3 linked regions of the Drosophila melanogaster genome follow. The protein of the gene in region 1 interacts with the protein of each later gene in a pairwise test. Each region holds a gene or a part of one and is shown in the gene's direction. Other genes may lie near its edges. The genes, in order: Gem3, Sbat and icln.

What was found.
Region 2: the proteins of Gem3 (region 1) and Sbat interact in a two-hybrid assay, tested with the Drosophila melanogaster proteins (one study listed by BioGRID).
Region 3: the proteins of Gem3 (region 1) and icln interact in a two-hybrid assay, tested with the Drosophila melanogaster proteins (one study listed by BioGRID).

The regions. Positions count from the first base shown.
Region 1 is NT_037436.4:10,458,570-10,465,018, reverse strand, and holds Gem3 (gemin 3), read left to right. Parts: upstream 1-1,917; 5' UTR 1,918-1,992; coding exon 1,993-2,182; intron 2,183-2,240; coding exon 2,241-5,137; 3' UTR 5,138-5,938; downstream 5,939-6,449. Other genes in the region: CG32061 (uncharacterized protein), read right to left, coding at 474-1,118.
Region 2 is NT_033779.5:2,876,548-2,879,501, forward strand, and holds Sbat (sabbat), read left to right. Parts: upstream 1-1,796; 5' UTR 1,797-2,045; coding exon 2,046-2,411; 3' UTR 2,412-2,454; downstream 2,455-2,954. Other genes in the region: Prx6a (peroxiredoxin 6a), read right to left, coding at 641-842, 1,064-1,256, 1,317-1,590; RabGGTb (Rab geranylgeranyltransferase subunit beta), read left to right, coding at 2,717-2,954. UniProt on the Drosophila melanogaster protein: Auxiliary component of the N-terminal acetyltransferase C (NatC) complex which catalyzes acetylation of N-terminal methionine residues. May have an accessory function in the survival motor neuron (SMN) complex.
Region 3 is NT_033778.4:17,589,231-17,592,381, forward strand, and holds icln (icln), read left to right. Parts: upstream 1-1,733; 5' UTR 1,734-1,802; coding exon 1,803-1,921; intron 1,922-2,007; coding exon 2,008-2,536; 3' UTR 2,537-2,651; downstream 2,652-3,151. Other genes in the region: RhoGAP54D (Rho GTPase activating protein at 54D), read right to left, coding at 1-624, 678-910, 976-1,124; CG30105 (uncharacterized protein), read right to left, coding at 2,656-2,733, 2,798-3,151. UniProt on the Drosophila melanogaster protein: Involved in both the assembly of spliceosomal snRNPs and the methylation of Sm proteins.

The DNA.
Region 1 (6,449 bases):
TAATCATATAAGGATACAAACATTTTTTAAAGCAAAAAATAGCACTTGTGTATTTATGTACTCCTTTCACATTTATTCACCGTGAGTTTTCTCCACTGAATAAAAGTGAGCAAGAAAAAGTGATTGCCGCATATTTCCCACGTGGTGGAAAAGTTTTTTCCAACAATAAAATGCCAAGCGGTGCATAAAGTTCATAGAAAAGTTTTCTCTTTTGTTGATTGAAAATGTCGCTTATTGTCGCAGGCAAAACACCAGAAGAAATCAACAATACAAATGTTGTTGAGAAATTAAAACTAACAATAAACCAATAACGAATTCCAATGCTCAATTAATGCTACAATAATTTAAGTTTACTGATCAAATCAAAATCACTTTAAAACTTTAGAGCTAAGTCAACAAAATCGATTTATTTTCCATTATTATAATTTTTGCATCAAACATAAAATAAAAATTTTAAATATAGATTGCCATGTTCAGTCCAAAAGATGTGTTTCAATGGAAATACAATTTCCAGAAAGATGAGATGCCTTCTCCAAGGATACTCCTCCGCCGATAATTTGCGACCAATAGGGTATTAAAGTCACGGATGTAGAACGATGCCAAAAGAGGCCTTGCAGTTCTCCATAAAGCTGAATCGCCCTCCAGTTAGATATGCAAAAATGCTGTATGACCATGTAAAATCGAATATAGTTGATCAATCCGCTGGCCACAAAGGTCAATATCCAGGGCAAAGCAAATAACAGGAATATATTCCGCGGCAGGGTTCCGTTTTTCAATGCGGAATTCTGTTTTTTGATCCAATTGTTTTTCACTTGCTCTGCAGCTGTTGTCGTAGTTTTAAGGATTCCTTTCTTTTCCATCGATACCTCACTTTTGCCACTTTGCAAGTGTCGTGAGTACCAAACTCCGATCATAGATAGTAGTGAATACATTATGGCCTTAACCAGCATCCAGTGATTGTATTTATAGCCCAATTGAAGCGTTAGATTACGATTCACGGAGGGATAGACCGTTTTTAGATTGGCATTCGCCTCGATGACCGGCTGAAGATTTGAGCCCAAGTGCAGGGATGTCAGCAGCGCAAAGTAACCAATGTCTCGTATTTTGGGTATGAACATGGTTCTCGAATTTGGAGTTCAAAATGAAAAAATTTTAAGTCGTTTTTTAAATTTTGTATCTAATTTTGTGTGACCTCAATGTGCTCTGACATTCCCAGTCTGATTGCTTAAAAAACGTTATATTATAAACATTTTTTGATTTTTATTTTAAATTATACGTAATTAAAATTACGTAATTAAACAATTAGGTAAATAATAAAAGATTTTATCGTTGTTTGTTATAAATTAATTTATTAAATTGAAAGGCAGCGTGCTGAAACTACTTAACTGCATCAACTTATTTTAGCGACATAAATTATTTGAAATTCCCGCCAGCTGGTACAGTTTGAGAGCAACTATTAGCTGTGCTAAAACCCCTGCATTTAAGTGCTTGACAATCTTGCCTTATTCCAACCTATTGGAAATATAAATTTCATATTAAAACAATCAACGGTACGATGTACATATTTTTTTATTGTAAAACAATATATTGTTAAGATTTCAAAAGGAATTAATTTTTTATTTTTAGTTCAATTGGTTGGAGTGCTTGGTAAATAGTTAGCACAGATAGCAACCTTGGTGTGAGCCTTCGCTAATATTTCGACATAAGATTTAAATACAGAAAATAATATTTAATTCTAACAATTATACCTTATTTCTGTGTGAAATTATGAAAAATGTAAACATTTCTCTGAATACAAATGACATTTCGTTACTGTAGGTTTTGTTCTGTGTAAATAGGTTTAATATTCACGGATAATTCGTTTGTAGTATATTTTAGTATATAATTATTCGCGTATGATGGATTTTTTGGCCGGCAATAAAAAAGTGTAAATTGTAGCAAGGCAACCGAATCGTTTCAAAATTTTGTCCAAAAAGTGGAAATTTACGCGAAATGGAGCGCGAAATAGCGCACAGTTTAGCTGGCGGCGAGGAACGAAGTAGCGATGTGGCACCTGGACAGGTTAAGACCTTCGAGGAACTGCGTCTATACCGAAATCTGTTGAACGGATTGAAGCGCAACAATTTCGTGACGCCAACGAAGATTCAGGCAGCTGCCATACCCATGGCACTGGCCAAAATGGGTAAATATCTTGCATGCAACAGAAGATTATCAATAATAGTTGCTATATTAATCTGCAGATCTAATAATACAATCGAAGAGTGGAACTGGCAAAACTCTAATCTATGTTATAGCCGTCGTTCAGAGCTTTAATCCCAACATAAACCAACCGCATGCCATGATCGTGGTCCCAACTCGAGAGCTGGCCATTCAGGTGCAGGACACATTTTTCCATCTCTGCAAATCGTTTCGGGACTTTAAATGCTCTGCTTTCATCGGTGGCACCGATGTGGCCAAGGATCGCAAGCGAATGAATGAAAGTCGAGTCATTATCGGTACACCGGGACGTTTGCTGCATCTGTATGAGAATAGAGTATTCGATGTGTCCAAACTGCGACTGCTGGTGCTCGACGAGGCCGATCAACTTTATCAGACAAAGAGCCTGCAGCATACGGTCAGTAAACTCATTGAGGCAATGCCCAAGAATCGGCAAATAATTGCCTGCAGTGCCACATACGATCAGAATTTGGATGAGCGTCTGGCCAAGGTCATGGACAAACCCATGCTTATATCGAATTCCGAAAGGGCTACCGTTCTACTGGGCATTCGGCAGTTTGTCTACGAATTGCCACAGCAGAATAACAGTGTGGAGGAGATGCGTCTTAAACTGCAGATTCTTGGCCAGATCTTTAATCAGCTGCCTTACGAACAGGCCATCATCTTTGCTAGCTCACAAATGCGAGCGGATTCTTACAAGAACTATCTTACAGCCAGTGGTATCGATTGTCATTTAATTTCGGGAGCCATGGAACAATCGGAGCGTTTGCATGTTTTCGAGGGCTATAGAAACTTTACTATGCGCATCCTGGTGGCCACTGATTTGATGGCACGCGGAGTGGACTCCCCGCATGCCAACCTGGTTATCAACATTGATCCACCACAGGATCATGTCACCTATTTGCACCGCATTGGACGAGCTGGTCGGTTTGGCTCCAAAGGCATAGCCATCACGTTTATTGCCTCCAAGAAGGAGAGCCAGAGATTTAGGGAAATGTCAAAAAAAATCGCTACGGCTTGGTCGGTTCTGGAGTTTCCCAAGGAGCCAATGCCCAATGAATTCAATTTTTGGGATTTCGAAAAGTACAACTTTGATTATTACATTAAGGAAGAGAATCCGCTACAGGAAATGCCTATGCCTATTAAAGAAAATAGAAGTAAAGAAAATGTTGATGCTTCTTCAGTTGACTTGGAAAATCTTCAAAAGGATCAGGATGGCAAAAGGAGAGATCCAGACAAACTACCAGTGGCCTTAGAAAATGTTGAAACCCAAAAAGAGTTGGAGCTCGAAAACTTACCAGAAAGTTCACATAATAATAAGAATCTTAGGGTCAAAGAGAAAGAAATTGTAAGGCAAGGAAAGCTTAAAGAAACTAATTCCAAAGCTGGAGGTTCTAAAACGAACAAGACGGAGAGAAGGAAAAAATCTAACACTCCATCAAAGTTACAGAAACAAATAACTGAAGTGCAGCAAACACCAGAGATCACCGTAAATAAATACTATATGCAAGAAGACATACAACGAACAGCAGACGGCAAAGAGTATCATCCTGTTAATGGAGCGGGAAACCACCAGGTTCCGTCAAAATCTAATCAAAAACCGGTGGAGTTTATATCTCCCGAATTGACACCAACCCTAACACCATTGGAACTGACCCAGGAGCCGTCTCCAACCACAGTGACACCACCTGCACCGCCAGCCAACTCGATTAACAACAAAACCTATTGCCTAGCTGCTCCAACGCAAACCAGTTCGATGACCATACAGAACATGGTAATATCGAACACGGTGGACGATGCCAGTAGCATCAGTTCGGATAGCATGGTGGTATGTGGCTATCATAGCGATAGGTCCTACGACACATACTATGCAACCAGTGATGAGGAGGAGATCTGGAATAGATTAATGTCGAAACAAAGGCGTCAGCTGAAGAGCAAGAGAGGCCATGGAAAACGGCGTGTGATACTATACAAGAAAGTATTTCCTAAACTAAAGGCGAATGTTAAACGCAAGCTTAAAAAACGGATGAGCTCGTCATGCAGATCCAAAAAAGCACACCATTTGCGAAAACGTCATGTATACAAAAATATATCACTTTTGCCACACATGAATTTGTGTCATCTGCTTCAAAAATTTACAAATCAAGAGAGATTTTTGAAACGGCTCCACAAATATGCAAAGAATCAATTCATTGACAATGCGAGGGTTGGCTTTTTGCTGGATAAGCTCTATAAATCCATCCTGGAAATGTACTATAACAGTGCTAAGGAGAGGAAGAAGCATTTTAAGGAAGCTATGAAGGAGTCCCTAAAATCCATTGATAACTACGAGAGCCAAGAGTCTTCGGAATCAGAGGAGGAGGAGGAGGAGGAGAAGGATCTAAAGAACAAGTTAAGTGTTCATGTGACGAATCAGATGGACATACCACCAATGCCACAGGCCGCTGTTGAAATTGGTTCAGGAAGTGAATCGGATACGGAGGACTCGCAGGAATACGGCGAAGGCGAAGAGATCATTGTGGACGATGAGGACGATGGCAGCGATGGCGGGCCAAATTCATCGAGTGGTTTTGTAGAGAGTCAGGAGAGTGTTTCGTCTGGAATAGACACTTCCGTTTACGAAACGGAATCTACGGGCGCATCTGGAAATAATTCAAGTGCATTCTTTATTTCGGATGATGAATCAGATACTGAATCCTTAACAGATTCGGAAGCTGGAAGCAATGTCAGCGCGACAGGATCAAGCTCACAGCGATCTTCAGTAGCGAGCAGCACCTATGAATCTTCGGATGATGATTCTGTAACTGTAACCAATGTCAGTTCAATGCAGAACGCTCAATCATTGTGGTTGCAGACTTTCAACATGCAGTACCAATTCATTGCATCCCATGTGGCCAAGAATCTACAGAACTATTACTAAGTGGTTATGAATGAAAAACTAGTGAAAACTCAGGCATTAAAATTAAACTCAACTAATCACTTCATTCGGAAACAAAACGGATCAGTTCCAAGAGAGGCTGTATCAGTCTCTTTCCTTACAATTGTATATCGTAGCCAGTTAAACCGTTTTCTTAATTAGAATACTCAATGTCGAAATAGTTGATAGCATGTTGGATACCATGAATGTTTTTTTATGCAAGCAATAAATTGCAGAATTTGTTACCAAAAAAATAAATGAATTAAAGCAGGAAACTAACTATTTTGAATTTATTAAACAATAAGTTCATTGCTCAACTTCTTTGATTTCAAAATTGATTGTTTTTCATGTTTATTCGCTACATAATCGCATCAAACAAATTAATCCACAATGTGAAAGTTAAATCCCTTTAATCACTCGCAATGATTTATCTAAGAGATGGGAAAACAAACATTTTTCTTGGTTTCGGCAAGCCGGATGGATGAAGGTAAAGAAGCGGCGCCAACCGACTGCCGGGACATAAATCATATAGTCAGTGGGATCGGGATCGGCATCGACCATCGACCATCGGGCAACGGGCATCAGCTGTGTGGCAGACAACATTGTTGCACGGGCGCCGCTCACTTTGCAACTGACTGCAGAGGTGTTAACCCATTAATTAGCTGTTGTCAAAAGTCGTTCACTCGATTTTGAAAGCCACTCGAAAATCAGAATGGATTGTACAAAAATATGACATATATTTATGTTTTATTTATTTATTTAATGCATTTTGTGAATTATTTGTGCAACGAATGCCATGTTTGTCAGCAAATAAATGAGTTCTACTATTTTCTTTTTATACTCCACTGCTGTATTTAATTTTTAAAATACTTCGATTCATAAATAATTTATTTTTAAATTGATTAAATGCAGTTAAAATTTTTAAGTTTCCTTTTACGAGTTTTGTGTCCCCATTTGCGAGTGCTTCGCAATGGGTTAAGCGAATGAGACGGTCCACAGGCGGCATGCCGCGTCGGTGGCATAGTCAAAACATTCGCCCTGCGGTCGAGCACGCAAAAAGCCGGCATCTGGATGGTACTGCTCATTGGTCGTCGATCTGCAGTGCCCCAAGTGCCCCTCTTTTGGAGTGCAACACCCCTCCCCCCCCTGCGTTGCAAGTCCAATAAGGAGCGTGAGAAAACGCAAATTCAAAGCGAGCTGGAAGCGACAACATTTTATAGATCCTAGAGACATGGATAGCGTTGCATTTTGTCGCTGCCGCAGTGGCAGCAAACTCAATTCGATTAGCGATAAATGCGAGATGCGAAAAATGCTC
Region 2 (2,954 bases), on another chromosome or scaffold:
GTACATATTTGCATTTCATTAACATATTCAAGGTAACGATCTCTATGCGAACTCAGATTGTGGAATATATCTTGTGAGTATTTGGGCAAGGGAAAGTGCTCAAGCATCCACTGTTTAAACTAATTATCAGTAACATGTGTTTCCAATTATTAGTTTAAATGAATGGTCACTATTACAAATAACTTTATACTGTTTGTGCCACCAAAATTAATCCAATGTAAACATTTTCCTTTCAGTTATCTTCGGTTACGGGCACGAGCTTGGTCTTTAGCTTTCTTCTATCCTAGAAAGCGCTTCAGTTATTGTACAGAGTTGGCCTTATTTATACCTTACTTACCCCCATGGTTATCCAGTTGCAATATCTCTACCCCCTTTTGTACACGTCTATATATGTATATTGAATGTATATTTATTTCGTACACACAAATCGCGACCTTTTTGTCACATTCCCCATCTGATTTAGTTCGTAAGTCGAATGTTTTGGCAATTTTGTCCAGCAGAAGGCGAGTTTTAGCCACCTGAAAGCGCCGATCTACTGAAAATACGGTTGTAAGCGTATACTTTATTGTGCATTATTTGTTGTTAATTATAATTTTTGTAATAAAGCAAAAAAAAAGTGAGAGCGCACGCTTGTCATCCATTAGGGCTGTGGAGTGATCCGCAGGTAACTCTTTCCGGAGGGCAGCTCAATGGTTTCGATACCATCAGGAAAGAGCTTAGGAACATCTTCGGCTTTGACGGTGGGCAAGACCATGCACTTGCCGCCCTGTTTCCAATCCGCCGGCGTCGCGACACTCTTTGTTTGGGTCAACTGGAGCGAGTCGATCACTCGAAGGATTTCACTGCAAAGGATATAGTTAAATGTAATTTGTCGGATTAATTGACCTTGAAATCGTTCCTATTTAACTTCCATTATTATATGCAAGGTTAGTACTTAGTTTTCAGCAATAATACTTCATTAAATAATTATCTGCTAATGCGATTAAGTGCACGATTGTTTGCTAAAGTGCATTACAGCATTACTTTATAGATAATGATGAATGCTAGATATTGGAATACCCACTCAAAGTTGCGCCCAGTGGTGGCAGGATACAGGATGGACAGGCGAAGCTTCTTCTTGTCGTCCACCACGAAAACGGCGCGACAGGTGAGGGGAATGCCCTCGGCATTGATCTCGTCCTTGTCCAGCATATTAAACTTGAGCGCCAGTTCCCTTTTGTCGTCCGCAATGATGGGATAGTCAAAGGAGCTCAGCTCTGCGAACAGAAACGCCAATTAGAAGCGATTCCTGTCCAGAAATCAGTGACCAAACCCACTGCCAAAGCTCTTGATGTCCTCGATCCAACCCTTGTGCGACTCCACGGTGTCGCAGGACAGTGCAATTGGCTTGACTCCACGCTTTTGGAATTCCGGAATCAATGCCGCCACCCGGGACAATTCCGTGGTGCAAACCGGCGTAAAATCCGCCGGATGGGAGAACAGAATGGCCCAGCTGTCCTGCATCCAGTCGTAGAAATCGATTCGACCCTCGCTGGTCTCAGCCGTGAAGTTTGGGAACTGATCGCCAATGTTTAAAGCCTTTCCGGACATGGTGGATATTTGAAAAAATCAAGAGACGAATTACGAGCTTTTTGGATAAATGCGAAACAAAATTTGCCGCAAAATGCAAATCAGCTGACTGGGCTAGGGTGCCCGTTACCTTTATAAGCTCAGCTCGACCAGGGATGCAAATATAAAAAGAACTAGTTTTCGTATGAAGATGTTAAAAAGAAGGCTCATTGTGTGCATTCATTTTGCAATCATTTCCTTTAAGTGTTTTAAATCTAAAGTATTTTCTTTGACACAAGCAAACGAGTGTTTCGTATATTTTCGAATTTATGAGCTCAAAAAGTGAACCAGTGAACCGAACCACTTACACGTGCTTGCATCCCTGGCCATTACTCATACACACGCACACTATATCACACATACGCGCAGTGTAAACACAAAAAAAGCTGAGAATTTCTTGCATTTATTTGTTTAAATTGAGCAAAGAGGATATAACCATGACAGAACTGAGCATCACTGGCCAGCAGGTGATGCCCCCGCCCGCATGCACACCACCGGAGCCCTTCCGCATCACAACGAACGCCCCGCACCAGATGAACGATGCCAGTTTGACGCCGGGACGCAGGAAGCTCCAGAAGTGGCTGGGTCGAGTTCTTCGGATCGTGATTACGGACGGACGCGTGCTGGTGGGATTCTTCAACTGCACGGACCGCGACGCCAACATCGTGCTGTCCATGTGCGCCGAGTACTTGGTGGAGGGCCAGGAGCCGCGCCTGCTGGGCAACGTCATGGTTCCCGGCCAGCACATAGTCTCCCTAAGCATCGACGAGCCGGATCCGCAGTCCAGCCTGCTGGTGCAATAGTGTGCATGTGTTTTGAATAAAATAAACTAGCTATTTGAAATTTAAGTACGTTTAATTTTTATTTTTGGATGGGGTTATAGTAAACCCCTCCACACTACGCCCCTGCGTCGATCAGCTGTTTGATAAGCCACTGCCGCGTTGCCAACCATCGCGCAGATGAATCAGCTGTGCTCGATTGGATTCACTGAGTTATTTGTTTGCTCGCAGCACTATTCCTGCCAATTAATAGAGTTAATCAAGCGAAACAGCGCGCCGAAGAGGATCTGCCAGCCACCCGATACTCATTCAATTGAGCCCAATCAGCGATGGACTTCACGACCTTCGTAAAGCCCTCAAATGGCGGTGGCGACAGCGGCGGTGGTGGTGATGCGGATGGCGGCGGCCAGAAGCTGCAGTTCTGGAAGCATGTGGAGTACATCGAGAACCATGGGAAGCAGGAGGACGACTACGAGTACTGCATGACCGAGTTTCTGCGCATGTCGGGCATCTATTGGGGCACCACTGCCCTGGACATTATGGGCCAGCTGGAGCGATTGGAGCGCA
Region 3 (3,151 bases), on another chromosome or scaffold:
CCGAGATGGACTCGTCAAGCGTTTGTTCCGGCGACATGGTTTTCTTTCTTTTGCGCTCGAGAAAGTACGCCCGGATGTCGGTAGACAGCTTTCCAGGCACCTCGAAGATGTCCAGTCCACGGACGATCATATAGGTCACGATGCTGGACATTTTCTTGGCCTGGTAGTGCAGGACCTCGGGTGGCAGTTGCCTTGGGCAAATTAGGTGCGGTGTGAAGAGAGTGGCCAAGTTATCGGCGCTCATCTTGTTGCTTTTCTCATGCTTGGCCACAGCATGCAGCATCTCAATGATGTGCTGAAGAAGTTCACGATGTTCTTCGGGCAGGAGGAGAAGTAGCAGCTGCACGGAGTTGAGAAGATGTTGTTGACGCTCAGCAGTGGCAGTCGTCTGACCATTGAGCGCCTGGCAGAGTGGGGCTATCTGCAGATGCGCCGGATAGTGGGCATCCGTAAGCAGCGGTTCTGGAAGTTCGGATAGAAAACCTTTGAAAACGGTCGCGCAATCGTGAGCGGAGAAGCCCGCAAGTTCCAAATTCAGTGGTTTGTCGTGCTGGATGTGCATCCGAAGTTCGTTTTGTCGGGACACCGCACCAGCCTTGCGGAATAGGCCTTCCTGGGTGAGATCTGAAACAGTGGATCAGTTAATGAACGTAATTTGAGATCTTCAGCGAACTTACTCTTCTCCAGCATTAGGAACTCCTTGAGCTCTTGCAGATGCATTAAGAATCCCGGATCAATCTGCTGTTGCAGTGTCTCTGTGGGACTATTACCCACGGATTTACTGGCGGAGCCGGCGGCACAGGATGTGGCAGCTGCTCCATGTCCCAAACGATGTTTTTTAGACAGGCGGTTCCACTTCTTCAGCTTGCCCTTGTCCTCGTAGACAATCTCGTGACAGGGGAGATCGAATCTACATATATAAGGGAATCGTTAGTAATGTGGTGAGCAGCCATATACCAAGGTGATCCATCTTACTCATCCGTATTGAGCTCCAATTCAAACGATAGGTGCATGCGCACCAAGGATTTGTATTTTTCGTAATTGCAGCGGCGCATGCGCGTGGCCAGATCGCGATCCCTGAAGTCATTTAGGTTCGCATGGTCCGTATCCATCGTTGCTTCCATGCAATCTGTGTGGTTTATCCGTCGGGACTATCGAGTAAACACTGTATATATCCACGAACAACGACAACAACAACAATAATAACGACTGCCAACGGATAAGGAAAATAACAACAACTTGGAAGGACAATGACAAGTTCGTTTCGTTAACCCGAAGGCTACTTCTTTCACTTCTGTCCGTAATGGGTTCGTTTTGAGGAGTGTATTATTGTCGAAGGTTTGATGCGCGAGCATATAACTTCGCATTTATCACATTTATCGCAAATTTTAACAGCTAAAATTGAAAATTGAACGAGACGCTACCTAACCAGTGTGACCGCGGCTAGAGCGCCAAATTAAGACCTCTTTGGGAGAAAATCGTACGCGCTGATCTGGTAGCACAATTACGTACTACGTTTTTATCTTTTTTTGACAAAATTGTTCCATTCTTTATATATCTATTTCTAAATTCAACAGTGGTAAGAAAGAAGTTGTCCTCCGAGAACACCTGTTCTGATGATTCTACATTCAAAGAAGGAAAATACATCAGAGCGTTGCCAGAGTCCAGCTGTCTCTCCTAGTTATTGCCACCCTTGCCAGACTTTCAAAAGGGGGACGAAAAAATGGTACTCAACACTGCATTTTTGCAAGTTTTGTTGTTTGATCGCGCTTTTTACAATTAATTTAACAAGCTGTATTAAAATGGTTCTTATTATGCGTGTTTCCCCGCCGGAACATGGTCTGTTGTATACGGCAAACAATATCAAGCTGAAACTAGGCGACAAAGTGGTGGGCGAAGGCACAGTTTACATTGCCCAAAAGTGAGCGCTTTAGAGCTTTGCCGGTGTCTGGTATTGCTCTCTATTTATTAAAATCTTTTAAAGTAACTGTTATTTCTTGTTCCTAGCACGCTATCCTGGCAGCCAACTGAATTGGCGGAGGGTATATCCATTGAGTGGAAGCAGGTTAGCCTGCACGGTATCTCTTCGAATCCGAGAAAGTGCATCTACTTCATGCTGGACCACAAAGTCGAGTGGAACGGCGTCTACGGAGATCCTCCCCAGCAGGCAGTCAATGGTCGGAATGGCGGTGGTTCGGAAGCGGAAGTGGACGAGGGAAATGGCAGCGATGAGCACGATGAGGACGACAATTTCGAGGATGCCGTAGACGAGCAATTTGGAGAGGTCACAGAGTGCTGGCTTATGCCGGAGGACATTCACACCGTAGACACTATGTACAGTGCCATGACGACTTGCCAGGCCCTACATCCTGATTCGGCAAACAGTGATTCGGAAGACAGCGATCCTATGCAGGATGCCGGTGGCTTAGAGGATGAGGCTATGGAGGAGGATGATGCATTGACGCTTGGGCGCAACGGCGTGCAGAATCTCAGTTTGGACGACGACGAAGAGCGATTCGAGGACGCTGATGAGTGAAGCATAACCTATTTAAACATCAATACCACGTTTTATACCAGATAAAATGTACGATATATATGTATTGGATTAGATTTTGGAGTAATAAATAGAACGCGGTAAGCGCGATTAAAACAAAACTACGTGCTTTCCTTGACGTTTTCCTTATTACGAGCGATTTCTTTCTCTAAATCCTCTTCGCTAATGGGCTGCGAGAGCTAAATAAATAAAATGTGGTATTTATTAGGTGTACTTCGAGAATATATAGTGGTATATACATACAGCTTGAGCAACATCCGGCAGAGGAAGGGCCTGTCGGTAGGGATCGCCATTGGACGGCACTTTGTCGTAGTTCCAGTAAGTAAAATCTTGAAATACTCCAGTTAGCCGCAACTTTCGGTCGGAGGTATCGCTGATGGGCTTCTCTGTTTCTTGCAGAACTAATCCGCAGTATCCTTCGGGCACTTTCAACTTCTCTCCCATTAAAGGAAATCCGCGCAAGGCGTTCGTCAGGATTCCTGTGCCGAATTCGGTTGCTTCACGTGTGTAGTTGTTGAAGTAATTTTTTACATTCGCTTCCCCATCGCCGTCTATTTTGGCCGGCAAGTAGTGCACGTCTAAATTCTTACCCTTGGC